Linked DNA regions of Rattus norvegicus. The protein of the gene in region 3 interacts with the protein of the main gene of each other region in a biochemical or structural test. Links are inferred from orthologs where the notes say so. Each region holds a gene or a part of one and is shown on either strand. Other genes may lie near its edges. The genes, in order: Ddit3, Kat2a, Cebpb, Rb1, Smad4, Ep300 and Cebpg.

The links.
Region 1: the proteins of Cebpb (region 3) and Ddit3 form a complex in vitro, tested with the Homo sapiens proteins (2 studies listed by BioGRID and IntAct, with this or other methods). The link is inferred for Rattus norvegicus from reciprocal best matches to the Homo sapiens genes CEBPB and DDIT3.
Region 2: the proteins of Cebpb (region 3) and Kat2a form a complex in vitro, tested with the Homo sapiens proteins (2 studies listed by BioGRID, with this or other methods). The link is inferred for Rattus norvegicus from reciprocal best matches to the Homo sapiens genes CEBPB and KAT2A.
Region 4: the proteins of Cebpb (region 3) and Rb1 form a complex in vitro, tested with the Homo sapiens proteins (2 studies listed by BioGRID, with this or other methods). The link is inferred for Rattus norvegicus from reciprocal best matches to the Homo sapiens genes CEBPB and RB1.
Region 5: the proteins of Cebpb (region 3) and Smad4 form a complex in vitro, tested with the Homo sapiens proteins (2 studies listed by BioGRID and IntAct). The link is inferred for Rattus norvegicus from reciprocal best matches to the Homo sapiens genes CEBPB and SMAD4.
Region 6: the proteins of Cebpb (region 3) and Ep300 form a complex in vitro, tested with the Homo sapiens proteins (2 studies listed by BioGRID). The link is inferred for Rattus norvegicus from reciprocal best matches to the Homo sapiens genes CEBPB and EP300.
Region 7: the proteins of Cebpb (region 3) and Cebpg form a complex in vitro, tested with the Homo sapiens proteins (2 studies listed by BioGRID and IntAct, with this or other methods). The link is inferred for Rattus norvegicus from reciprocal best matches to the Homo sapiens genes CEBPB and CEBPG.

Annotation. Positions count from the first base shown.
Region 1 is NC_086025.1:65,000,352-65,004,494, forward strand, and holds the start of Ddit3 (DNA damage-inducible transcript 3 protein), read left to right. Parts: upstream 1-1,343; 5' UTR 1,344-1,378; coding exon of another isoform or gene 1,379-1,441; intron 1,442-3,936; coding exon of another isoform or gene 3,937-3,978; 5' UTR 3,979-3,984; intron 3,985-4,143. Other genes in the region: uncharacterized LOC128125814 homolog, read left to right, coding at 1,379-1,441, 3,937-3,978. UniProt on the Homo sapiens protein: Multifunctional transcription factor in endoplasmic reticulum (ER) stress response. Plays an essential role in the response to a wide variety of cell stresses and induces cell cycle arrest and apoptosis in response to ER stress.
Region 2 is NC_086028.1:86,134,761-86,137,485, reverse strand, and holds part of Kat2a (histone acetyltransferase KAT2A), read left to right. Parts: intron 1-127; coding exon 128-238; intron 239-320; coding exon of another isoform or gene 321-323; coding exon 324-460; intron 461-543; coding exon 544-752; intron 753-944; coding exon 945-1,071; intron 1,072-2,722; coding exon 2,723-2,725. UniProt on the Homo sapiens protein: Protein lysine acyltransferase that can act as a acetyltransferase, glutaryltransferase, succinyltransferase or malonyltransferase, depending on the context.
Region 3 is NC_086021.1:176,815,550-176,818,936, reverse strand, and holds Cebpb (CCAAT/enhancer-binding protein beta), read right to left. Parts: upstream 1,933-3,387; 5' UTR 1,880-1,932; coding exon 986-1,879; 3' UTR 501-985; downstream 1-500. UniProt on the Homo sapiens protein: Important transcription factor regulating the expression of genes involved in immune and inflammatory responses. Also plays a significant role in adipogenesis, as well as in the gluconeogenic pathway, liver regeneration, and hematopoiesis.
Region 4 is NC_086033.1:54,909,058-54,913,244, forward strand, and holds the start of Rb1 (retinoblastoma-associated protein), read right to left. Parts: upstream 2,801-4,187; 5' UTR 2,625-2,800; coding exon 2,509-2,624; intron 1-2,508. UniProt on the Homo sapiens protein: Tumor suppressor that is a key regulator of the G1/S transition of the cell cycle. The hypophosphorylated form binds transcription regulators of the E2F family, preventing transcription of E2F-responsive genes.
Region 5 is NC_086036.1:69,532,685-69,536,184, reverse strand, and holds part of Smad4 (mothers against decapentaplegic homolog 4), read left to right. Parts: intron 1-99; coding exon 100-219; intron 220-310; coding exon 311-427; intron 428-1,698; coding exon 1,699-1,749; intron 1,750-3,500. UniProt on the Homo sapiens protein: In muscle physiology, plays a central role in the balance between atrophy and hypertrophy. When recruited by MSTN, promotes atrophy response via phosphorylated SMAD2/4.
Region 6 is NC_086025.1:114,986,401-114,990,656, forward strand, and holds the start of Ep300 (histone acetyltransferase p300), read left to right. Parts: upstream 1-1,456; 5' UTR 1,457-2,426; coding exon 2,427-2,520; intron 2,521-4,256. UniProt on the Homo sapiens protein: Functions as a histone acetyltransferase and regulates transcription via chromatin remodeling. Acetylates all four core histones in nucleosomes. Histone acetylation gives an epigenetic tag for transcriptional activation.
Region 7 is NC_086019.1:96,826,937-96,830,962, reverse strand, and holds the start of Cebpg (CCAAT/enhancer-binding protein gamma), read left to right. Parts: upstream 1-1,226; 5' UTR 1,227-1,385; intron 1,386-1,418; exon of another isoform or gene 1,419-2,118; intron 2,119-4,026. UniProt on the Homo sapiens protein: Transcription factor that binds to the promoter and the enhancer regions of target genes. Binds to the enhancer element PRE-I (positive regulatory element-I) of the IL-4 gene. Binds to the promoter and the enhancer of the immunoglobulin heavy chain.

The DNA.
Region 1 (4,143 bases), on a different chromosome or scaffold from region 3:
GCCAGGAGAGACCATCTGGTTCAGCCCACCCCCAACCTCTACTAACAGAAGGGGAAATGAAGGTCTGGAGCGAAGGAGCAGTCTGGCCAAGGACCTGTCACTGTCGCACCATCCAATAGCAACCGGTCTTGGTTCAGTTTCTACTTAGACAAACTCTGGCTTGCCCCTCCCGAGTGTACGACAGACTATGTAATAGGCCACCACATGGCCTCTGTTTTCATGGCACAAAAAATAGGTTTTGCAAGATGTTTTTACTTTTACTCAAGTTTTCTTCACAGTGCTGTTTTTACCTTTACCTATCATTCTTTAATTTACAACTGAGTACGGTAGATTCCTTGGGCAAATTAAACTAGAATGACCCAGTCCAGGCAATCATGCGCTCAAGTGCATGCACGTCCCAGTCTCTAGGTCGTGAACCCAGACACCTAGAGGCATGAGGCCAGCTAATCAGCAGGGAGTCACAGGACTTGCTATCTTGGAGAAGGAAAAGGGTGGGTATTGGGCTTAGTGAAGGGCATAAGAGCATCACACAAAGCAGGGGTAGGATAAGTAGGCAGGAGGCTACACTCTACAAAGAACTTGAATTCTGGCACGCAGTGGACGATTCTGAAACAAACGTTAAAGCTGCCCTTCTGAGAGAAGCGGATGGACTACCAAGGAAATGCCAGTACCTCAGTCTTTGGGAAGCGTTAGAAGGCTAAAAGAGGAGGAGGTCTCTTAAAAGACTCCAGAAGATGTCAATCCAGGTGAACAAATTGGAAACTTTAAAGAGGTTCAAGAGCCTCGGTGCCCATTAGTTGGGAGGGGCCAGGGAAAATGAGTCTTTTATGGAGGAGTAAGTTAAAGGTGATGGGAGGTGGGCAGACAAGTTCAGGAAGGACAGCCGTTGGGGCCGTTGGACACTGTGAGCTGGCGCTCCGCCTTCTTTCCTCTCTCCCCCATCCCCCCCTCCCGCCCGCTCCCCAGCACCTCCCACCACCATCGACGTCTCCTGCGCGTGCGCGCGCGGACACCGGTTGCCAAACATTGCATCATCCCCGCTCCCCCTCCGCCCCCCCCACGTCATCCCCTCCCTCGCCGCACTCTCCTCCGCGCGCGCGCATGACTCACTCACCTCCTCTGCGAAGCCTCGTGACCCAAAGCCACTTCCGGGTCCGAGATAACGTAGACTCTCGAGCCAGAGGGCGCGATGGAGGCGGGGCCACGGGACTCCTGAGTGGCGGACGTGAGGGGTGAGGCGGAGCCTGTGCCAGCGTGCCGCTTTCTGATTGGTAGGCTCCTGGACACTACCCCCCCCCAGGAGGGACCGAATAGCATAAAAGATACTCGCTCTCCGCTCCAGAGGTCAGTATCTTGAGTCTAATACGTCGATCATACCATGTTGAAGATGAGCGGGTGGCAGCGACAGAGCCAAAATAACAGCCGGAACCTGAGGAGAGAGGCGAGTACTGACTCCGTCTACCCCTTACTTTCCCATCCTCGCCAACATAGCTATTCCACAAAGTTAGAGGCAACTGTCCTTGAGGGTGTAGCCCCACCCCTTCCACTGTGAGTTTGTAGACTGAGGGGCGAGTGAAGGCGGGTAATTCCTGATTCGGGAATGGTGCTTACAGGCCACCTCTTTGGGCGATTGCATTCCCGTTCCCTTGTCTCAGGTTGGTCCCTGCTCTGCAAAGGGACTCCGGTTGCCTTCGGAAATTTGTCTCAGTACTGACCATTTGCGGGCCATCTTAGGCCTAGGCGGTTCGCAGGAAAGGTGGGGCAACAGGACACACCCCCCAATGTTGGGGACTCCGGCTGTTAGCACCTCTTCTCCACCAGCCTCATTCCCCCCAACTCTTTCAAGCTGAAGCGCCTCAGGGACCACCAACATGGCCACTTTAGTAGCTGTCTCTAACGTTCAAGACAACTCAAAGACTGACAGATCTTTGCGAGTGGGGGTGCCGGTGGGAGGAGCATAGATGGGTTTTTCCCTTTTCCCCAGAGGTTTCTGGGTTTCCGTACAAGAGAGCAGCCTGGGTCTCTTTAACTATGGGAAATTACTTGGGATCTCTCCAGGGTCTTCTGCTTCTCTTAGGACTGATCTCTGCTTCTTTCCTCAGTCCTGTCTCCCAACTAATCTCTGTAACCGTTGCATCAGGCCAGCCCACTGTTTGTCTCTGCACCCTCAGGCCTGGGGCTCCTCTGCTGATGAAAGCCAGGTCCCACACACTGGAAGACCAAGGAGTTTTCCCTAGAGGACAACCCTGCAGAGAAACACTCAGGGCAATATTGCGTCTGCAGTCCCCAGAGACAGGCAGCTCAGCTCTGCCTTTGGGCTCAGTGGGCTTAGTTGTTCTCTATTCGTTCCTAACAAATGCCTAATAAGCACCCACTATGTGCCAAGCATTTGGGGATCCAGGGTATATTAGAAGCAAAAGACGAAACTGTTCTCAATAAAACTTACATTTCAATGTAAAGCAAAAGGGGGGAAAAACAGAAGCAGGGAAAAAATAGTTCAGGATGGTGGCTAGAGGTTTTATCATTCAGGAATTGCCTCAGTGGGTGGGTGAGATGGAAAGAAGGCAAGCCTGTGAGCCAAGCAGGTAATGTGGAAGAGGTTTATAGAAGGGAGAGAAGGAGCAGAAGGGTTGAGATGAGTGTGCCAGTATCCTTAGGAGCAGGGCAGTGAGCTGGACTAGAGTAAGCAGGAGAGGGTGGTGAATGGAAACTCAAGTAGCAGGTCCTGTAGAGCCTTGCAAGCATTCTCAGGATGCTAGTCTTTCAACAGTCCTGAAACAGGAATCCATTGGGGGATCTGAGCAGAGGAATGTCCTAAATTAAAAGGGTTGGGGAAAGACCCCATGCATTTAATTCCAACACTCAAAGAGGTAGGAGCAGGCAGAGCTCTGAGCTCCAGGCCAGCATAGTCAGATCCTAACTCAAAATAAATACAAAAACAAAGGGTTGAGTGTGTAGCTCAATAGTAGACTGCTTGCCTAGTATGTAGAGGGCCCTAGGTCAACCCGCAGCCATGAAAATAAAAAAGACAAGAATAGAAACAGGAGATCTTAGCTGGAAATAATGGCAAATGCCTTTAACCCCAGCACTTGAAAGGTAGGTAGATCAGAGTTCAAAGCCAGCTAGTCTACAAAGTAAGTTCCAGGACAGCAAAAGCTACACAGCAAGACCCTGTCTAAAAAAAAAAAAAAAAAAAAAAAAAAAAAGATTTCAAGGCTTCCAAAAATAATCTAGGGAATGAAATGCATAATGCATGGTAAGTTTACATCTGGAAATAATGAGAAAAAGTGAGAAATATTTAGGTTTTGGGTACTTCTAAAGAATATTGAAGTTGCCAGTGCTTTAGACTGAGCTGTGGTATCTGAGAAGGGAGGAATTAAGGATACCAAATGTTTGGCTTTAGGCACCTATAGTTGCCATTTAGTAAGAACTGTACCCCCTTGGTAGGAAAGGCCTTTTGTGTAAGCTGAATGCCTGCTCAACAACCAAAAGAGATGGAGATCCCAGGGCAGGTCTGGAGGCTAGGATGGGAATGGAGTTTAAGCAAATACTGCTGAAATCTCTCTTCCCTGTATTTTAGTTCTCACTTTGGCAGATCTGAGGTCTATCTGGATTTAGAGAAAACTTAGTTGGCCAGGACTTTGCTATTATGTAATCAGGACTACAAATGTCAGCAACTAAAAATAAAGTTAAGCATGCCTGTCCTTGGCTTCAGGGACACACACACACACACACACACACACACACACACACACACACACACACACGAGCCTCTCTGTGGCCTGGTCTACAGAGTTGAGTTCCAGAATTCCAGGATGCCCCGGGCTTCACAGAGAAACTGTCTCAAAATCCAATGACAGAAATTAAGAAACCAGCTAGAGAAAGACCAGTAAGAGGCTAGAGGTAAAGGACCTGTTTCTTCCCCTTTCTCCACAGTGTTCCAGAAGGAAGTGCATCTTCATACACCACCACACCTGAAAGCAGGTAATCTTAGCCACCCTCCCAGTCAGCTCCTAATGCTGCTCAACTTGCTTTGCTGGGATGAGAGTTAGACCAGGCCTTGACCAGAACCAGCTTTTGCTGTCAGACCATGTCTTTCTCTGATCCCATAATGTTGTTTTAGAGCTGGCTTGTCTCAAAGTC
Region 2 (2,725 bases), on a different chromosome or scaffold from region 3:
GGGATAACAGTGGTGGGGTATGATAGCAGTGGGAAGGCACCTTGGGGCTCAGATGGGGCTGCAGGCCCTGCCAGGTCCTCTAGCCACACCGTCCACTCCCTCATCCTTGATTTCTTCTCTCTTGCAGCGACTGTCAGTGCAACAGTTGTACCCAGCACTCCCATCTTCAGTCCTTCCATGGGCGGAGGCAGCAACAGCTCCCTGAGCCTAGATTCCACAGGGACAGAGCCCATGCCAGGTGGGCACTTGACTGCTGACCGCCATTCACCCTCCCCTCCACATTTCCTGCTATCCCAGGGTGACCCTGTCATCCCCCCCAGCAGGAGAGAAGAGGAAGCTTCCTGAGAACCTGACTCTGGAGGATGCTAAGCGGCTCCGAGTGATGGGCGACATTCCCATGGAGCTGGTCAACGAGGTCATGCTGACCATCACCGACCCTGCTGCCATGCTGGGGCCCGAGGTAGGCATCCCAACCTGCTGACCTGTGGGGAAAGGAATCCCCAACCTCCTGAGGCCCTTGCTCACCACCCCTCTTCTGCCTAGACGAGCCTGCTTTCAGCCAACGCAGCTCGAGATGAAACAGCTCGCCTGGAAGAGCGTCGAGGGATCATCGAATTCCACGTCATTGGCAACTCTCTGACGCCCAAGGCCAACCGGCGTGTGCTGCTGTGGCTTGTGGGGCTGCAGAACGTCTTCTCCCACCAGCTGCCACGAATGCCCAAGGAATATATTGCCCGCCTCGTCTTTGACCCGTGAGTCCCTGGGCACCCCAGCCCCAGAGCACCTTGACTTCCCCATCCCTCTCCACTGGACACTCTCCTAATTGTAAGGCTCCACCTTTCCTCTGTTCTTATCCCCGATGACACTTCACCCTTTCGTGGCTGAGGGACCTGGGGAGCAAGGAGAGGACAGGTGAGTCCCGTGACATGTCCCCTCTCTCTTAGGAAGCATAAGACCCTGGCCTTGATCAAGGATGGGCGGGTCATCGGTGGGATTTGCTTCCGCATGTTTCCCACCCAGGGCTTCACGGAAATCGTCTTCTGTGCTGTCACCTCAAATGAGCAGGTCAAGGTGAGCACAGTGCCCCTGACCATGACCCCGTTCTACCACCTGCCTCCGAATATGGAGCAAGCCAGCCGAAATGGCAGGATATCTGTGCCCCAGCCCTTGCTGTATCAAGCAGACTTTCCACATACTCCCTCAGGGTGGCAGCTTCACCTTGATAACTGATCATTGAGAAAACACTGGGCAGTGGTGATGCAGGCCTTTAATCCCAGCACTGGAGAGGCAGAGACAGGAGGGTCTCTCTGAGTTCGAAGCTAACCTGGTCTACAGTGTGAGTTCCAGGACAGCCGGAAACACAGAGAAAGCCTCTCTAGCAACAGCAAAACAGTGGATGTCATTCTGAGGGCCGGGGAGATGGTTCTCTGGTAAAGCGTAAATGCGAAGGCCTTCGCTTGATCCTCATCACCCACATTAAATAAAATGATAAATAATAATAAAATACAGATATGATAAAAATCAGCAGGGTAGGGTAGTACATACTTTTGATCCCAGCACTCGGGAGGAAGAGGCAGAGGCAAGGCCTTCCTGGTCTACAGTTTGAGTTACAGGACAGCCAGGGTGTGCAGAGGAACCCTGTTTTGAAAACACAAACAAAAAGTACCCAAATCAGCAATGATTTTTTTTTCTTTTCTGATGCAGGATGGAATGCAGGGCCCTGTGTACACCAGGCAAATATTCTACCACTAAGTTCTGCTCCCAACGATCTTTTGTTTTTTTTTTTTTATAATAAATAAATAAATCTTTAAAAAAAAAAAAAGAATTTATTATATATGAGTACACCGTAGCTATCTTCAGACACATCAGAAAAGGGCATCAGATCCCATTACAGATGGTTGTGAGCCACCCTGTGGTTGCTGGGAATTGAACTCAGGACCTCTGGAAGAGCAATCAGTGCTCTTAACCGCTGAGCCATCTCTCCAGCCCCAGTAATCAGCATTTTTATGTTAACCTTAGGGACTTTTTGTTTCAGAGAAGGGCCCATATAGCCAAGTCCAGCCTTAAGCACACTGTGTAGTCCAGGGGTACCTTAGACTTGTGATCCACTTCTCCCTGCCTCCAGATTACTGGGATCACAGGTGTGTACCCCCACACCAGGTCTTATCCATTGCCAGGGATCGAACTCAGGTCTTTGCGCACTCTGAGTAAGTGTTCTGCTAACTGAGCTCTACCCCACGGCAGCAACACTTTCCAAGTGAACCTTTGTTTCTTGGCAGGAAGGTTTGCATGCCTTGGGGAGTTGATAGTCCCAGCTTCTGTCTCTTTTGGCAACAAATTACTTTTGGGCTTTTCGTTCTCCCGAGTTGTGTGCATTGTCTGTATGGTCCTGACATGAGCGGGCCTCTGTGACCCCTTTCTGTTCTTCCCCTTTATTCTGAAACCCCAGCCGTGTTGGGTTGGAGCCCAGCTCTGCTGCGTCCGTGGTCCACTGACCTCAGACTGTTCTTCATACACAACCTGACTTATCAGGGTCTTTTTGGTGTTTTTCCTGCGAAATGGGGCTTTTGACCTAGTCATGGGCTAACTGGCAAATGGGTCTTTGAAGAATCAACCTGGAATCTGGCCCTGAGAGAGGAGCATCTAGAAACCCTTTACTTTCTCTCCGCAAACTCTGATCCTCTGCTGGCCACCTGACCTCCCTGCTCCGTCTCCCCCACAGGGC
Region 3 (3,387 bases):
CCAGTCTCTCTTCCAGCTACACAGGGACATAGAAACCAAACAGACATGGGATGGGGTGGGGGGGGCGCTACACACCACCAAACACACAGTACTTTGAACACAGTGCTCACCTCCCTGATCCGGCTGTCTGGACTAGCCCTTCCTACATAGTCACTGCCTGCCTAGTCAACACAAGCCTGATACTCAAACCAAGCCCAGAGGGCGGCCCGTCCCAAGCAGGGTTTCTAGCAAGGTCCCCGGCACCCATGGGTGCTGAGTCACCCTGAATTCCTGACCCGGCACTCTGCCCCCTCTCCTGGGGGGAGGGGCTGGCATCCCATCTGCCAGGGGAGGAGAAAAACCCAGATGCGACACCCCCACCCACCACCACACACAACCCAAAAATAACCCGCAGCCCCCTACACACCAGAAACACAAAAAACAAAATCTCGCATAAATCCAAAGTCAGGAGGGAAGAAAAAAAATTTTTTTTCAAAAGCCAACTACTGCCCCCAAAAGGCTTTTTAAACATTCTCCAAAAAAGTTTATTAAAATGTCTTCACTTTAATGCTCGAAACGGAAAAGGTTCTCAAAATATACATACGCCTCTTTTCTCATAGAAATAGAACTTTTTTATATAATACAAAAAAATAATAAGACCAAAAAAAAAACAAAAAACAAAAAACAAAAACAAAAACATCAACAGCAACAACCCCGCAGGAACATCTTTAAGTGATTACTCAGGGCCCGGCTGACAGTTACACGTGTGTTGCGTCAGTCCCGTGTCCACACGCGCTCAGCCACGTTTGATCCGGATTGCATCAAGTCCCGAAACCCGGTGCGCGGTGCAGGTGCGTGCGCGCGGTGCCCACGGTGTCCCCTCGGTGCAGGTGCAGGTGCGCGCGGTGCACGCACGGTGCCCCGGGCGCGCGCGGGGACGGAGCGCGCGGGGCAGGGCGCACGGTGCCCAGGGTGGCCGCGGCGCCCCCACGCCACCCCCGCCGGGCTAGCAGTGACCCGCCGAGGCCAGCAGCGGCTCGGGCAGCTGCTTGAACAAGTTCCGCAGCGTGCTGAGCTCTCGCGACAGCTGCTCCACCTTCTTCTGCAGCCGCTCGTTCTCCGCCGTCAGCTCCAGCACCTTGTGCTGCGTCTCCAGGTTGCGCATCTTGGCCTTGTCGCGGCTCTTGCGCACCGCGATGTTGTTGCGCTCGCGCCGCATCTTGTACTCGTCGCTCAGCTTGTCCACCGCCTTCTTGGCCTTGGCCTTGGCGGGCGCGGCCGGCGGCCCCGCGAAGCAGGCGGCGGGCGCGGCCTTGGCGTCGGCGGGGCTCGGCGTCCCGGGCGGGCTGGACGACGACGACGTGGACAGGCTGCCGCTGCTGCCGCTCGGCGTCGCCTGGTAGCCCAGGTAGGCGCGCAGGGCGAACGGGAAGCCGGCCGCCATGGCGGGCGCGTCGTCCGCGCGCTTGCAGTCCGCGGGTTCGAAGCCCGGCTCGGCCTTGAGTGCGGCGGGAGGCGGCGGCGGGAAGCAGGCGGGCGGTGCGGCCTTGGCGCCCGCGCGGCCGAGGCTCACGTAACCGTAGTCGGACGGCTTCTTGCTCGGCTTGGCGCCGTAGTCGTCGGCGAAGAGGTCGGAAAGGAAGTCGTGGTGCGCGGGCGCGGGCGCGGCGAAGTCCGCGGCGGCGGGCGCGAGCGGCTCCAGGTAGGGGCTGAAGTCGATGGCGCGCTCGTGCTCGCCGATGGCCGGCTCGGCGGCGGGGGCGCGCGGCGCGGCGCGGGCCGCCTTGGCCCCGTAGGCCAGGCAGTCGGGCTCGTAGTAGAAGTTGGCCACTTCCATGGGTCTAAAGGCGGCGGGCGGCGGCGGGAGGCATGCTGCGTCCCAGGCCAGCAGGCGGTGCATGAACGCGGGGCCCGCGGGCTCCGCTGCGTCCCGGTCCCGTGCGCGGCTCGGACTCGGCTCGGCGGCGGCCGAGCGGGAGGTTTATAAGGCGGCGCCTGGCAACGGGCTGCGTCACGCCGGGGCCCCTCCCGCCGCCCCGCCGCCGGGTCGGTGCGCGTCATTGCCCGGCCGCGGGAGCGCGAGAGGGCGCGGCGGGGAGTGGGGAGCGGCGGGGGTCCGCGCGCGGGATACTGAGCGGTGTCCTGGGCGCCCCGCCAGCCCCGCGATCGCCACGGACGCGGGTGACGCTAGCCCGCCCCCTTCCCGCCCCTCGGGAACACTGAGGAGCGCTGCCGCCGCCCGCCCCCTGCTGGAGGACGCGGTGACTGGTCCGGCTCCTGTCCGCTCTCCCGGGCCCCCAACTTCTGGGAAACAGATCAGTCCACCCGGTGCACGACCCCAACCGTCGGATCCCGCCCGCTGTCCCCGGTCCCCAACTCCCTGGAAACAGCCTTCCACCCGGTGCATGTCCGCCCACCCAGGTGCTGCCCACGCCTCTGAGACCCCAACTCCTGGAAGCAGAACTCTCCACCCTGTGCACGCCCACCCCGGGGATGCTTACTGTCCCCGGATCCCAACCCTCAACCCTTTGTATGGCCCGCCCACCGCACCAGCCTACTCCACTCCCCACGCCTCTCCGCGAAGGTGGCAAGGGTGGGGGTTCTGCCACACTGTGTCTGTGGGTGAGTCACTTTGCTCCTCTGAGTTTCCTCCGTGGACAGTGTTGGTATTGTCGGTAGTGGTGTCCGGGTATCAGAGACAAATGGACCCCAAGAAAGACCCGCACAGCCCTCCCCGGAGGCTGCAGCTCCTCAGGTGGTTGCGGTGGGAACATGGCAGACCCAAGTCCAGTCGTAAGGACGCAACGGTCACCCGGAGAGCTGGAAAAACAAACTCTCCATGCACTTGAATGGGCACCAGGTTGGACCACCAGCCTCTCCCCGGTGAGACTCTTCCGAGAAGGCCCAGGACAACTTTGGGGGCCCACTCTTCTGCCACTCCCAGCCGGGCCACTCAAGCGGGAGCTGCCAACCTGCCTGGGGCTGACCCCCGACCCATTGACCCCAGGCCTGGCCCCGGCAAGCTGGCGGGGTGTTGCTCAACCTTCGGTGTTATCTGCTGAGCTGGGGTGACCTCCGCCCCCAAGAGCTGGAGAAATGACATCTCCCTGTGCCCTTGGGGGTGGGGGGCAGGGAGGGAAAGGATAAGACACTAGCCCTGCCTGCGGCTTTCTGGCCTTCCCAGCAGCCTCTGGGCCAGGAAGGGATCAGGGCCCAGAGAGGCGTGGTGACATCCCCAGGGCCACCCAGCCAGGCCTGGCTATAAAGTGGGACATTGGGGCTTCACTGACAGGCCTTCCCTCATCCAACACTGGTGACTGTTCTTTCTGCCTCTAGGCCACCATTCACACCATTGCCCTCCTTCCCTCAGTTTCCCCTCAGACTGGGCTCCAGAAAGGCAGTGCTCCC
Region 4 (4,187 bases), on a different chromosome or scaffold from region 3:
TAAAATAAATAACACCTCAGCTGTCAAAGTAGACTTATTCGAAGTGGACTGGGCTGAATCCATCCCTAAGCTATTTTCTAAGCTTTAGTCTGAGGCAGTCCTCTTATCCTTGCTAAGAACAGTCATGCGCTACATGACGTTTCGGTCAATAAGGCAGTTTGCAACAATAGTCCTGTAAGATTATAATGGCATAGAAACATCACTTAGAGGCCATCTTAACCAGCTTAACATTGTGGCACAATCCATTTGCTACTTGTGCAGTCACTTTGCTGCTGCAAACAAGTCTACTACCCTGCCACTTGTAGGAAAGAATAATATATACAAGGACATTCAGGATACAGTACTGGAAGTGATTACGTTACTGGCTTGTATGTCTACTAAACTATAGCTTTATCATTGTTTTACAGCGTATTTCTATCATTAAAAACTAAAGTTTACTGCACAACAGTATGTTTTGTTACACTGGCAGCAGCCTTGTATATATAGTGTTTACAGCCTCTCTTGATTGCAGCAAGACAGCAACAGTGAATGATCTATATATCACTGGGGTTTAAGTGCATTCTGCAGTGATCACACAAAATTAAGTTAATGGCACAGTTCAGAAAAGGTAGCAAATTCCTATGATGAAACACATGTAACTATGGGTAATTCAGATATCAACTGTAAGTGCTTTTGAGAACCTCTGTGGTAATGAGTAACCAAGATGAAACTATGTCTGGTATAGTTTAAGCTCAACGGAGAACTTTTGAGAATTCCCCAAAGTTAAAAGTATATTCAAGAGAAAGAAATTGGGTCTGTCTCTCCCCAAGCAATGGCCAGAACGTCAATGTGTATGTTCACTCTATAGTAATCAACAATATGTCCAAAGCTGTGTAGATGGCATGGAATCTTTAGAATACAGGATACTGCTTTTTCTAAAAGGGAAACCTCCACACACTGGATACATCAGAGTTTAATTGGAAACAAAAGCAAACTCTTTCCCTGGAACAGTCTCCAAACATAGTTTTTATTCTATATTTATTTTCTAAGAACATGATTTTTATTTGATCCACAAGAAAATCCATTTAATATGAATTTTAATAGACTTAGACAAGCAATTTCCAAAATCATTTCAGTCCCTTAGGATTTGACCTTAACTCGGTTAAGAGTCTGGGTCACACAAGGAGACTTGATGCTCAATGGGAAGAAAGGAGCTTGATTGTGCATCAGGGTGCTGAGTGCCTACAATTCCAGAACTTGGGAAGCTGAGGCAGAATAGAAAGCTCAGGGCAAGCCTGGGTTACAGAGTCAGAGTACTTAAAAAAAATAAAGTCAGGGACTTAATGATGGGCTAGAAATGGAAGGATGGTGAGAGACAAAACAATTCCCATACTACAATACAATGGATCTATACTCTCAAAATAAAACTACTGTTGGCGATAACAACAATCATATTGTTTCAATTTCTGTTACTTAATCAAACAGTAGCACAGTCAAGAAAAATAAAATGTTGAAATACAATAAATATCTCTCCGTTGTTCTTATTGGATCCACATGAACTTAAGTTTAGATTCCATTTAATAAATGGAGAGAAAGGTTCTTTGAGACAACATAGTACCAAAGAACAAAAAGGGGAGTGGGATGGGGGGTGGGGACAGGCACCTTTTGCTCAAAGGCAAAAGGCAAGAAATAATGAAGCATGCTGCGGGCCAATCAGCACGCAAGAAGAGCTCTACCCTGAAAAAAAGGGAACAAAGTTTAGAAACTTTCAAGCCCTTGCATTTAAATGTCTCCTGAAACTTTTGCCCACATACCAGTTCTTCTATGCTCCACCAGTCTCCACAGATGGCTTTAAATCCCCGGGGCCTCAAAGCATTGTTCTAAAGAAACCCCCACAAAGCCCGGGAGCTGAGGACCCCGTGAGCAATTGACACCCACGACCCTGCGCTTCGCCTACAAGGCTTTTCTTGGCCTCTCCCAGGACCAAGCTGCCAATGCAGCGCAAACTCAGTGGGAAAGGCTCCCAACTGTTGCATCGCCGGACTGCAAAACAGAAAGTCAACCCACCCCGGGGGTGCTCCGGATCTCCACGGAAGAAAAAAAAAGGAGGAAGAAAGAAGACAAACATCGGTCGACTTTTTTTTTGTTTTAATATTTATTTCAATTGTTTTTGCGTCTGACCGGGGCTCTCCAGGACCCGCCGGCTCCGCGCCTGGGCGTCGCTGGAGTAGAGCCTGCACCTGTCACTTCGCTCGGGAGCAGGAGCCCCACCCGCCCGACACCTGTCAAGCCGCAGTCCAGACCCCTTCGGGATGCCCTCCCCGTCGCCCGCGAGCCCAGGACCGTGTCACCGCGCCGCCGCCGTCCCGCGGAGGTGGGGGACCGAGGGGACTCCGGGGACCCCGGGCGCCGCTCCTATCGCTTGCCCGGCCCCGCCGAGATGCGCCCGGCGTCCCCGCCAAGATGCGCCCCGCGTCCCCGCGCCCTTCCCTTCCCTTCTCTCCGGCCCGCGGCGGCCGCGCTCCTCACCTGATCAGGGGCAGCTCTTCGGGGTCACTGTCCTGCGCGGGGTCGTCCTCCGGAGGCGGCGGCGGCGGCGGCGGGGGCTCGGCGGCCGCGGTTCTGCGCGGGGCTTTGGGCGGCATGACGCGCTGCGCGGGCCGGCGCGAGCAGGCGAGGGAGGCGCGCGGGGAGGCGGGCGCGCGCGCACGCCGGGCACGCCCCGTCCTCACCCGACTCCCGTTACAAAAATAATGGGAACGTCCCCTGAGGAAAACCGGACGCGCCCGGCAACCGAGCGCCGGGCCAACCGCGGGAAAACGTCACTTCCGCCCGCGGCGTCACGTCCGCGAGGCTCGCGGGCCGCGGGCGTCAGTGGGGAACCGGGGCGGCGGTGGCGGCGGCGGCGGGCGAGAGCGAGGGCGCGGGCGGGAAGCCGCAGGGAAGCCGCGCCTGCCCGGGCTTGTCTCCGCCCGCGTCGTCCCCGTGGGCGGCGCCAGCCGAGGCGGGGCGGGCCGGCTCCTAGGAGCCGCGGCCTCTGGGAGAACGCTGGACAGGGCGCGCCCCTCGACCGGCCCGCGCGGCCGGCAAAACAAAAACAAACGTGCCCGGCCAGTGGGAGGTGGGCTCGGCCGGGGTGGGCGGTCCAGGGTGGGGCCATTACTGGCCTTCTGGAGACGAGGGTAGATAGTCGATGTACAGAGTGAAGTGTGGAGTAAGTCTTTTGATGTGGAAACTGGAGGCGCGGTCCAAGCCCGACAGATCTTAACGGGAAAGGATCTTTTGAAAATCAGCTTGCCAGGCGGACCCAACTTTGAAAAATCGTTTACAAAATCGTTTGAAAAGAAAGCAGAAACCAGTTTGCCGTGTTAATGCGCGCGATCCAGCCCCCTTTCATAATTGTTTCTCAGAGACAGCCGGTCAAACTGGGGAGGCCAGCATTCCACTTTGCGTGTTGGAAATGGGAGTTCGGAGAGTTGATTACCTGTGTCACATAGCCGGTCGGTGGCAGAGGACTCAAACCCAAGTAATATTTGGTGACTCACCATATCACCAACGCACAGACACGGGGAAAGAGCACACTAGAACTACCGCCACCAAAAGCTGGCTCAGCAACTATCTTTTCTAGTTACAGTTTTTACGCGTCAGTCAACGTAATTTTCTCTCTTTGCCAGTCCTTATTGGTGGTTGCCACACAACTCCCTAACTGAGGTGCAGTGAATAAAAAGCAGTTGTTGTTCCGGTGTAAACTATCTTGGAACAGCTGAGCAAAAGCTGAGGAAGCAGGAACTTCATTGGGTAGGTTGCAAACCTGGGCTTATTCTCTGCCTTGACATGTGTGAAGGATACACAGACCTCCTTCAATTGTCAGTCCTGCCTAACTTCAGAAGCCTGTGAAGCAAATGTTAGTCAGGAGGTTGAGCCCAGGCCCTGATGCAGCCACCGAGAATGTATGGAATTAAAATAGCAGTTGAGTTCACCTTGTCCCAGATTTAGGCAAGAGCTTAGGTTACATGCAGTCTAGGTTTGAGGAAGATACAGGATAGACTGCAGGGGGCCTGAAAAAAATGACAGTCCTGCCTCAAAATTATCAGAGAATGTGACACTTGCTAACTGATGCCCCTGTGGTAATTTGTGGCAAGCTGCAAAAGAACCTGGGCCCTCAGACATGTAACAGAGCGGGTGATTGGTCATCTCTGCTGGTACTG
Region 5 (3,500 bases), on a different chromosome or scaffold from region 3:
AATTGTGGATCATCAGATATAATCAGACCTTCGTCTTTGTATAAAAGCATAGACCCGCATCTCCACATGTGCTGTGTTAACGTCTTCTTGTCTCTCTAGGTCAGCCGGCCAGCATTCTGGCAGGCAGCCATAGTGAAGGACTGTTGCAGATAGCTTCAGGGCCTCAGCCAGGACAGCAGCAGAATGGATTCACTGCTCAGCCAGCTACTTACCACCATAGTATGTACACGCCTTTTAAATCTTTTCAGAGTTGAGAAAAAGAGGCAGCCGTTATAAAAGCAAATTAATGCATATGGGCCTTAATTTTTAGACAGCACTACCACCTGGACTGGAAGTAGGACTGCACCATACACACCTAATTTGCCTCACCACCAAAACGGCCATCTTCAGCACCACCCGCCTATGCCGCCCCATCCTGGACATTACTGTAAGCTCTTGTTTTCATTGTACGCAGGGCCTTTTTCTTTTCTAGCTAGTACTTTGATTTCTATTTTCTTAAAAATGGTTTTGCATCGTTTATTCATCTTACAATTTAATTTTGTTAAATGATTAGTGCTTTTTCCTTTCGCAGTATTTTTGTAAGCAGTTCTTAATTGTCACACGTCTGTTTTGCACGCTGTTCATCATCTCACTGTCGCTGACGGCTCATCGACACTACATCGACCTCCATGCATTTGTTTGCTTTATGTTTTAGGTCTTGTATGTGTACCCACCCACAGTCGACGTAAGCCTTGAGTACTACGATCTCAAGGTTCCCCTCACCACAGAATCACTGCAGTAGATACAAGAGATCTTAGATGTTGGATCTGTGTAGGTGTCCTTTTCATACAGGCGTCTTGGGACAACACCCTACAGACAGTCCAGCTTCAGTAGAATAGAAACACTGTTCATTTGACTTTAAAAATCACAAGTATAGGGATGAAGTAAAAAGTGAGGAATGTAAGTCTTACATACCACTTTTCCTCTCATTTTAAGATTAATAATACAAAAATATTGGAAAGTACAAAAGGCATAAATAATAACACTAGAGGATACTTCTAGTGTTCTCTCCTTCCAGTCACATAAGTGAGTGTGTGTGATATGTATGTATGCTTATTGTTACATACCAGTTACATTACTACCTTCCCGTGTGTTCGGAGAGTGTGATTTCTAATGGCTGCCTGGACCAGTGTGTACAATTACTGGGTTTGCTCTATGATTGCTGGTCACTTGTTTAAACTTACTAAGCCTCAAGGGTTGTAATTTTATCTGCTTGAAGCAATATTGTAAAAAGTGAGTATAGTAATTCTGTGAAGTTTTTAGCACCGTGTGTTGATAAGTAAGCTTTCAATTATGATTGCTACTGTTCTATTATATAAATGCCCCTAACTTAATATAAGCATTGATTTTTAGAAAGGTTAGCAATTTAAATTACTATACATTGCATTATTAATTATACTATTGTTATATAAATAATTTATAATCTGTATTAAATATTGCATGTATAACTGGTAAATTGTTAAATAGAATTTGTCAGATAACACTAAGAGGTTAGCTGTTAATCTCACAAAATAATTCAGGAAATAAACTTTTAAATTCTTGGCATAAATGATTTAAATAAATTTTAAGGCTTATGATATTTGTATTTAAGGTTTATTAAAAGTTTTAGTACTAGAAAACTTTTAATAAATAAAATGGGGTTTTTATTATTTTTTTTAGGGCCGGTTCACAATGAGCTTGCATTCCAGCCTCCCATTTCCAATCATCCTGGTAAGTGCATTTCAATATTGATTTCCCGTATGTACATTTATTAGAATAACTGGTGTGGGAATGCCGGTGGATTATTTACAGGGTAACTAGACTCAGACAGGGTAATAATCACTGACTTAATCAGCAGTTTAAGAGCAGGTGATGGTTATAGACTATAGTTTTTAACTGTCTGAAAGAAACGTAAAAACCTTTTAAAAACAGGTATTATGTATAGAATTGCCAGGTTTTGGCATTGAATACATAAATACGCAGCAGAGGGAAACTGAGCGGCAGTAGAGTAGCTTCCGAAGTGTGGCTTAAAACCCAGGGGGAGGCCAGCGATGTGGGTCAGTAGGTGAAGGGGCTTGCTGCCAAGTCTGATGGGACTGGGTGTGACTCCCGGGGCCATGTGGTAGACACAGACTTTGAGCACAGAAAACCCTGAAACCTTGAGATGTCAAAGGCACAGACAATAGGAACCGGAGTTTTTCTCATTCTTCACTCAGGAAGATACACTTACAGCTAGTTGCCTCTCTGTAGTCACAGAGTTCTGGTCCTGGATGCCCCTCAGATACCCAGTTCTAAGACTACTCAAGCCCTTTATGTAAGACCATGTGGTATCTATTCTCCTATGATTTACACATGCCTTTTAGTATATTATTTGCAAACAAAGCATCATTTTACGTAAGAGACTTGAACAACTGCAGGTTTTGGCGTCTGGCTCTACAGGACGCAGGACAACTGTGTGTCTAATAAAGACTTTCAAAATATGGCTATGAGTTAAAGGATAACTTAGTGTTTCATATGTAGCTCAGTAGGGGATGGAACAGTTCTGAAGAGAGACGTAACACGAGTGGAATGCATAGTGCAGTAAGTGATGGCAGTGATTGGCTTTGTCTTCTCACAGTAGCCCCTGCTTTTAGAGAACAATATTCAGTACGTGAGGATACCTCTGTGCACCTGTGCTGGCATGGCTACCTCTTGTTCAGTAGATCACAGAAGTGGCCAATGCATCCTGAAGGGTGAAGGGACTTTGTCCACCTGGCTGCAGTTCTGCAGTTATCCTTCTAGTGAAGTCCGTAGGTCAGGGCTCGGGCTTTGCCTGATGATTGATATGGGCGGACACAGCTCACTCTGAGCACTGCCATTACTGGGTCGGGTCGGTGGTTCTGGTTGCTGTAAGAGGAGCAAGCCAGTTAGCAGGGCTCCTCCATGGGCTCTGTTTCAGTTCCTGACCTAAGCTCTGCCTTGACTTTGCTCAGGGATGGAAGGCAGCTTGAGGCTGTTGTAAGATGAAGTAACCCTTTTCCCCCAAGCTGTTTGGTCACGGTGTGTTCCCACAGCAGTAGAGATCCAGAGTCAGAGAGACGCGAAGACGTTAGGGTCAAGGCAAGAAACGTTCAACTGTGTCCTTCCCTCCCCTGTCAGTGCCACCGACGCTACCTGATGCTAGCCACACTCATGCACGGTAACCAGCGTCACATCTTCTTTCCTTATTGGACAGGTAGAATAGATATGGTCTTCTCCCCACCATGTAGCTCTGGCTGTCCTGGAAACTTACTATTTAGACCAGGCTACCTTAATTCCCAGAGATCCTCCTGTCTCTGCCTCCGGAGTACTGGATTAAAGGTGTGCACTGCCAGTGCCTTACCTACATATTCTTTAGAAGGTCAGCCACTCTGTTGTGTTTTCTTCAGTGTCTTTGCGGTGTTTGTGGTTCAGGAGTATATTCATATGCTCATACCAGATTTATAGGCTCACATTCAGATCTG
Region 6 (4,256 bases), on a different chromosome or scaffold from region 3:
AAAATTTTATTTTCTTGGTAGTACTGGTGACTGAACTTTTCAGGCCACAGGAAGAATAGGCAAGCCTACTACCCATCCAGTAGGTAATATCTTGGAAGTTTTCCTTCAGTGTCACATACAGCCTTGGTACTTTCCCTATATTTGAGGGTCCCAAACACAGAAATCCAGTAATTTGAGAACCCTAAAAGCATGCTCCCTACTTTTTTGCTTCGAATTGGACTGCTCTAACACTAGCTTCTTAGGAGCATTTCCTCACTCTTTTCTAGAGTTATGGATTTTTAGCACCTGACATTTTTTTGTCCTCTCCCATATTTATATTTAAGGCACTGCAGAAAGTGCTCTTTTATTAAGTTCATCTGTTAGAGATGGGTGGAAATACCTTCAAAAGACCTTGGAAGTTTCAGGCAGGTCCAGAAAAATATTCTCAAGGATTCTTTTTCTAAGAGTGGTTGCTGGTAAGGATGTGTAGACACATAATAGGCAAAAAAAAAAAAAAAAAAAAAAAAAATGCATGTACGGTCTAGTCCTAAACAGCCTCCCACTGCTGTGGTTCCTCCCCACCCCATTTTTCTAACAATATTATCCTAGTCCAAATTTTTCGTTTTTGAATCAGACATTTCAAGAGGAAACTTAAAGGACTAGCAATGTGACTTTGAGAAATGAACTGCTCCTTTCGAAAAGGCGATGAAGAGTGTGGAATGTTTCTATCCTGAACACACAGGTGCTTGGCGGATTTAATGGAGTTCCAAAGATCAACCGGAGAGGGCAAAACCCGGGCGCTCCAACTTGTTTCTGCTCATTTTCACAGAGGAGCGCCAGAGCTCCGACTACATTCTGCGCAAAGACCCAGCCCAGGAACCTAAGTGTCCACCGACCGAAAATACGTTCTAAGTCTACGCCGGAGCCCCCCTCTTTCAAGACCTCCCCTTTAAAGGGAGCCACCGAATGACGCCGGGGGAGTTTGCGGAAGCGCCTACCGCGTTGGGCCCTTGGGCGGATCCCGTGATTGGAGCCGGCACCGCCCCCAGGCGCCGCTTCCCCCATTGTGTGAGCTGCAAGGAGGAGGCCCCGCCCTCGCCCCGCCCCCGGTTCCTCGGCCCCTCCCCTCTCCACTCCCCCGCCCCCCCATCTTGGCTCATTTCCGGCCGCCGCCGCTACCGCTATCCTGTAAGGAGGATTCGGCAGAGGCAAGAAACAACAGCCGCCATCTTGTTTGTGTGCTAGCCTGTGGGGGGGTGGGGGGAGGAGAGAGCGAGAGGGACCGGGCGAGAGTGGGGCAAGCGGGACGCCCGGCTGAGTGCGAACTGCGCGAGCAGGGAGTGCGGGGGGTACCAGGCCGGAGAGCAGCGGCCGCGACCGAGACAGTGGTTGGGGGCCCGGGGCGCAAAGGCTGAGGCGACCCCTAGCCCCCTCCTGCCCGCACACACCCCCACTGCAGCCCGGGCCGGCGTCGACGCCTAAGGGGGGACCATTACATAACCCCGCGCCCCGCGGCGCCTTCGCCCGCCGTCCAGGGCGGCCCCCGAGCCGAGCCCCCGGGGGGGGGCGGGAGCTCCCAGCACCTGGCTGCCGGGCGTGAGGGCCAGAGAGGCGGCCGTACTTATTTCTCCTCCACGGGCTTGCGAGTGGAGGCGGAGAGCGCGGCGCGCGGAGAGGCCGCGTCGGTGGGCTTGGCGTCGGCGCGGGCTTGCGGGCGGGCCGCCCTGCTCGGCCCGGCCCCCCTGGCCCTTCGGGCCGGCGAGCTCCACGCTCGGCTTCGTCGCCGCGCCTCCGCTGTCCGCTGCGCGATGTGAGGTGGCTCCGGCGCCAGTCTGGCTCTCGGCTCGGGTGAGCTCAGTGCGGCCATTAGGGGCCGGTGCGGCAGCAGCGGCGCAGAGCGCAGCGGCAGGAGGAGGAGGAGGGCTCGCAGGGTGGGGGCGCAAGCCCGGGAGGGGGCACCGGGAGGAGGTGAGTGTCTCTGGTCGCCTCCTCCTCTCCCCCTTTTTTCGCCCCCGCCTCCTTGTGGCGATGAGAAGGAGGAGGACAGCGCCGAGGAGGAAGAGGCTGATGGCGGCGGCGGAGCTCCGAGAGACCTCGGCTGGGCAGGGACTCGCTGTGGCGGGCTGGGGACTGCGTCTGTAGAGCTGTGAGTTCCCGAGAATTCGCTGCAGCGGACGTGCTCGTGGGATCAGTGTTGCTGTACCCTCCTCCCGGCCTGGTTTAGGCCCGGCCCCTCGCACTTGCCCCTACCATTTCTGTTGAGTCCGCATCCCTCTCCGGCCACCGCAACCAGGCGAAGAGAAAAAGGAACTTCCCCCACCCCTCTTGGGTGGCGGCGGAGCTCCGGAGCCCACCCTTAGGAGCGGGGCGGGGACCCCGTTTCGAAGAAGAGATTTCCTCAGGATTCTCGTTTTTTTTCCTCGGTTGTATCTCCGAAAGAATTAAAAATGGCCGAGAATGTGGTGGAACCCGGGCCGCCTTCAGCCAAGCGGCCTAAACTCTCATCTCCGGCCCTCTCGGCGTCCGCCAGCGATGGCACAGGTTAGTCTCGGGACTCCCGGCCTTCCATAGTTCCCTTCGTCTTTTCTGCTGGTTGCACCTTCATTCTAGGGTATTTCTGTGTATCTCTTCCTATTTCTCCGGCCGGTGTTTAATTTTAAAGGATTTTGAATGGACTGGTTGAAGACGTCCAGCAGCCCAACCATTTTCTTTGCCTTCTGATACATTCATTGCAACACTATGTCATGTCAGATGGTTGTGTGTTCTGGAATTAAGAGCTTGGAAGTGGGAGCTGCATGGACCTTTATTGTCGGCTCCATGCAATTTAATTTGGGAAATGCCGGTACAGTTGTGTGTAAGGGCTTTTATGCACTTTTACTATTTTTTGTTACTGGCGAATGAGGTTTTCAAATCTTTCTCCCCTGTTGCACTTAATTCTTTTCCCTCTGCTTTTCCACCTTTAAAGGTTTTTACTCCTGTGAAGCAGATTTTCTGTTAAGGAATGGGGGTGGAAGACAAATCTTGGTGTGTGCAGTACAAGGTTTTAAGTGTAACGTAAAGTTCAACAAAATACTGTTTTTTAAGTCCCCTCTCCATCCTTGGCTCAAGAATCAGTATGGACCGCAGTTTATTTTATATCTATTTGGTGTGAAACCAAAATGTCTCAAACTGGGTGTTTGATCAGGTGAGGAGACCTGAGGCATTTCCCTTGCAGTTTGTTGTCACCCTTCTTATTTAGAAGGGAAAGAGAAAAGATGAAGCCTTTCTGGAATTAGGTACTTAGAAATGGAGATAAGAAGTTGAAAGAGTCCCAGTCATGAACTTCCAACTAAAGTGACTGTACAAGTTTGAAAATGTACAGTAGGTTTTGTGCTTGTATGCTTATTTTGATTTACTTTTTGGACCTTTGCAATTTCAGTTTTCAAGATCAAGGAATTCTTTTCTTCAGTCAGCCCCTTTGTTAGGAGACCTGCAGGGAGACTTTCCACCGTCTGTTCTTTTTTCTACTTACTGTTAGTTTAGTGTTATTCTGATGATCACCGACCTGGTCCTCTTGCTGTCTGACTTGTTTGAGAGGCCAGGATGATGAAGAATAATGACTGGTCATCTGACAGTCCACAAGATGTTCCCCCTTACTACAAGCATCTCTTGAACTCAGAGAACAGGCTCAACATCTTCGATCTGCCCGCGGAGTGTATAATGGAGTTAAATGTATCCTGCGAGTTGTAGAGAACGTGTGGGCCATGTTTCTCAGTAGGATTTATGACGAAGGCATGAAAATAAGATAGAACTAGTGCTTTACTCTGCTTTTTTAGCAGCTGTATTGTGAACCATGAGTTTTGCTAGCTGCAACAGTTGGGAAGGAGGATGAGTCTGGCAATGTTCTAAGGCTCTAACTTTAGTTATATGTGAGCATTTCAGCTGTAAAGTTTCTGAGGTCTTAAAGAAATTTTTTAAAAGTATGTCTTTAAAATTCATAGGCATAGACATTAATTTTATAGACACATTCGCTTTGCATTTTTGTTTCATTCCCTACCCTCATAATAAATGTACTTCTGTAATATGTTCACAAGTTGCCAAATTTGACATAACCAGTAACATGAAATATTGTATGGAAAACTTTTTAAAATGAAAATTTTTGATGTTCTGATTTGAGTGATTCAATCTTAAAGTCTGTTCATACCTTTCTGTTCAGGTGGACTATTGCATTCTTGGTCTGATTTATGTATTTTGCTAAATTGTATAGCTTTTGGCTAACTCATGGTTTAAAAAAAAAG
Region 7 (4,026 bases), on a different chromosome or scaffold from region 3:
TGCCAAGAACCAACACAGAATGCAGCTGTCAGGGAGGGTAGCTGGCAAAAAGAGAGTCTACCTCAATGTACATATGACATACAAGGATATTTTTATTTTCTATAGTTTTTATATGATTAGAAAATATTAGGGATAAGATCATGATTATTTTGTGAGAAACAAAGCACAGTTCATCTTTGATAGTGCTAAGAGTCATGAAAAAAAAAATGGCTCTTAACACAGCGATCCAAACCTAAAGAAACATACTGGTTTTGAGACAGCTCCCCAAATGTGCATAGGGTTATCAGGAGTCATTCTCTGTGTTTGCCTGTTTTTTGTTTTTTGTTTTTTGTTTTTTTGTTTTTTTTGTTTTTTTCTTTTTTTGTAGGTATTCTCATCTCTCAGGGATTCCTGGAAGTCTTAAGTGGAGAGCTGCTCTCCTGGCCTTGGCGCGGATGAAGAAACATTTCTTTTTGAAAGCCAGTGAGTTTTGAATGATAAGCATTGCTAAAGAGGAAGCAATCAAACCTATCTCTCAGGCTCTGCCCTCCACCCAGCACGCTGCTTCCTGTACTTCAAAAAACAAAAACAAACAAACAAACAAACAAAACCCAACAAAACCAGCTTTTTGATTCTTTTGTGAACTGTTTGGGAGAACCAGGCTGGACTGCTTGTCACTTTTAAGACAGCACCTCAGGTCCATCATCCGCTCTCACAGAGACGAGCACACTTTGGAAATCGTGATTTGTCTGAGAGCCACAGTCTACTGTTCTCAAGAGTGTGACAAGTGCTAACCCTAGCACTGGACAGTTTTTCCTTAACGTGCTTTTGTCAAAATGAAGTTTGCAGACGCCCTAGGGCCGCGAGGCCTAAACAAAACAAAAAAAATCAAAATCACTAACTCAAAAATCCACCCGAGGAAATGCCATTTCCCTAAGGCAGGTGAGACTCTCATTACTATGACAGAACTTTTCTCGCTACCGGTCACTCCCATCGCTCAGGGCCGCCGCCCGCCACCACGGACAGCCTAAGGGGGAAACCGCGGAGCGCGCCTCCAGCCAGCGCCGGTGCTACCACGCCCACCACGCCCGCTCCGCCGTAAGTCCGCCTCTTGCTGCCACCCTGGCTGTGATTGGCTGGTGGAGCTGCCGGTCTTGAGAAGCGAGCGCGTCGTTCTCCGAGCAGCGCTTCTATTGGTCACGGCTGCGGCGGCAGCGCGCGGACCCGAAGAGGAGGGGAAAGCCGGTGGCCGCGGTGGCGGAACGGGCGGAGGCTGCCGGTTTCGTAACCGTCGCTCCTCCTCGCCGACTCGCAGGCTGCGAGGCCTGGGTAGGGTCGGACCGCGCCGCGCGGGGCCGCTCGGAGTGGAGGCCGTCTGGGGGCGGGCGGGCCGGCCGGAGGCGCAGGTAAGGAGGCCGCGGGTTCTAGCTCGGAGGGGTTGGGGGAGGAGGCCGCAGCGGAGCCCGCCGCTCGCGTAGGCACCGGCCGGGCTCGAGGAGACCCGGCCCTGCCGGATTCAGCAGGTTGGCCCGGAAGGCCCCCGGCGGCTTGGCGGCGCGGGCGGGGACCGGGAGCGGCGTCTGATGCAACCTGCGGGCAACACCCGGCGGGGCTGAGCTCATCCCTGGCCGCGGCCCAGCGCCGCCGCGCAGGGCGCCGACCCCCGCGCTCCCCCAGGCGCCCCCTCACCACAGTCGGGGAAGGGATGGAGTACCAGGTGGCCCCTCCAGAACCTGCTCCCCGGCGACGTGCAGCGTGACAAGCCTGGCGCGCATTGGCCCCTGGGAATGGAGAGTGTTTCTAGAATAGAAGATGGACCGAATCTTACTTTGGAGCCACCTAGGACTCTTCTGTCGCTTCCCAAACGGCTCGGTCTGGGGGAGGAGGGCCCGGGTCCTATTTGGAGTTAATAACCTAGTGGTCATCTAGGGAAGGCACTTGATTTTTTAAACACTTAGCGCTGCAAGAGGGAGATTTCGTTTGTTTTTTGGGACGCGGCCGCGTGTCTTGTAGTTCATTGGGAGGGGAAGGACATCCTAGATAGCGCACCGGTTCACTAGACGCAGAAGGTCAAGCCATGAAGCCTTTCCTTAGCTCGCCTGGAGGGAACTCGGGAAAAGAGCCAGCAGACGAATACAGGTGGAGAAGTTGGGCGGCGTGCGTGAGGATTGTTTCTCTTTCTAAGTGCGCTTGTGTATTTCTGGTCTTAAGAAGGCTGGCATGCTTAGATTTGCTCTGCTCTTTGTTGTATTTTGTTTGTTTCTTTGTAAGCCGCCTCATAAGATGTATCAAATTTAGAAAGGTTTTAACCTTTGTGAGTTGCACAACAGCTGGGGCCTGTGTCTCTGGAGTTTCCACCCGCTTGAATCCTTACTTGAATATATTATCATTGAATGCATACCTGTCTCACAGAGGAAATTTTGAAATAAAGCACCCCGTCTTTACTGAGAAATTCAACATAGAAGAATTCAGAGCATGGTAGGCAAGCCACTCTACCTCTGAGCCGCATCCCTAGCCTTCAGAGCGCTCTAAGGTCCGTTCAGCTGTTGTCATTTGAGTAGTATTAATAAGCTATCCCTGCGGTTCTTACCTGTTCCTGAAAAACTGTAGATAATGGCAGGACGCTACTGAGCTGAAGAAATACTTGAGTCTGTTTCCTGAGTCCGATGGGCATGCCCGACTGACTCAGTTATTTTTATGACCTATCAGAAACAAATAGGTGGGAGCAGACTTCCCTCCCCCTCCCCCAATATCCTTTAAATTCTCACACCACGTCATGATTGCCAGCCAGCTCTGTGATCTTGGAGAGGTCCTTTCATCCCTAGCGAATTAAATGCTCCCTAGGAAAGTCCCTGGGAGCATTCCCTTCTGAGATCATGGGAAGACACACAGGACCTGGTTGACAGTTGCCACAGTCACAATAATGAGTACTGTAGCAATTTTAGGTTTCCCTCAGAGGGGTGGTTGCATAGGTTCTTACACTAGCAAGTTTATTGGTCCTCTCTCTAGTCCATTGCTGTGCCCTGCCATTAAAGAGAGGGAAAAAAGTGAACAGGAACTCCTAATAAATATAGTTATAAACAATGTATTTTTGAATGTGCTAAATAGTACTATAAATAGATGTAAAGGATAACATCCAAACAAGCTTATGTTTTCTTCACAACTCCAGTGGACCACTTACACTGAACTCCTTGAAGGAGTCTCCTCTCCTTCATGGACTCTGCCTCCTACAGTCTCCAGGGAGCTGGGATTGCCAAAGAGACTGGGGGAGCAGATTGAACAAAAGGCACAAAGAGAAAACAGAGACCATTTAGAATGCTTTAGGGAGCAGAACTTGTAGAGAGGGTTAGGATCTTGGCTTTGATCCTGTAGTCACAGACATTGATTTTTAGTAGCAAGATGTGACATTGTTAGGTTTGAATGGAAGACTGCTTGACTTGCAGGTACCAAACTCTTTGAGGTCAAATGACTGATCCTTTTATAGGGGTCACCTAAGACCATCCGAAAACAGATATTTATATCATGATTCATAACCATAGCAAAATTACAGCTATGTAGTAGCAACGAAAATAACTATGGCTGGGGGTTGCCACAGCATGAAGAACCTGTATTAAAGGGTCAAAACATCAAGAAGGTTAACTATTGCTCTAGATAATCTAGATAGTGGGTGCTTGGAGGGAGCTCAGGCTGCTACACCAGAGGCTAGGGCTCCTGGGAGATGATGTCAACCTGAGGTAATTTCTGTGGCATTAGGAACGACAAGAGATGTGGGATATTTTTGTTTGTAAACCTGAAGACTCAACCTTCATTAAGGAAATTGAGTGAAGATTTGATTTTGGGGGGCTAATGGAGGGATACATGGTTCTATCTAGGTTTATGGAAAAAAGTGACAAGCTAGGGAAGTTCTGTACAGGTTTATTGTTCCAAGTAAAAATTTAGACAAGTTCTATTTTACTATTCTAACATTCCAGAGTTTCATTGTTTTATTCTTTTGAATGAACATTATTACTTTAGTTAATAAATTTGCATTTGAAGAAAGTTTTACTC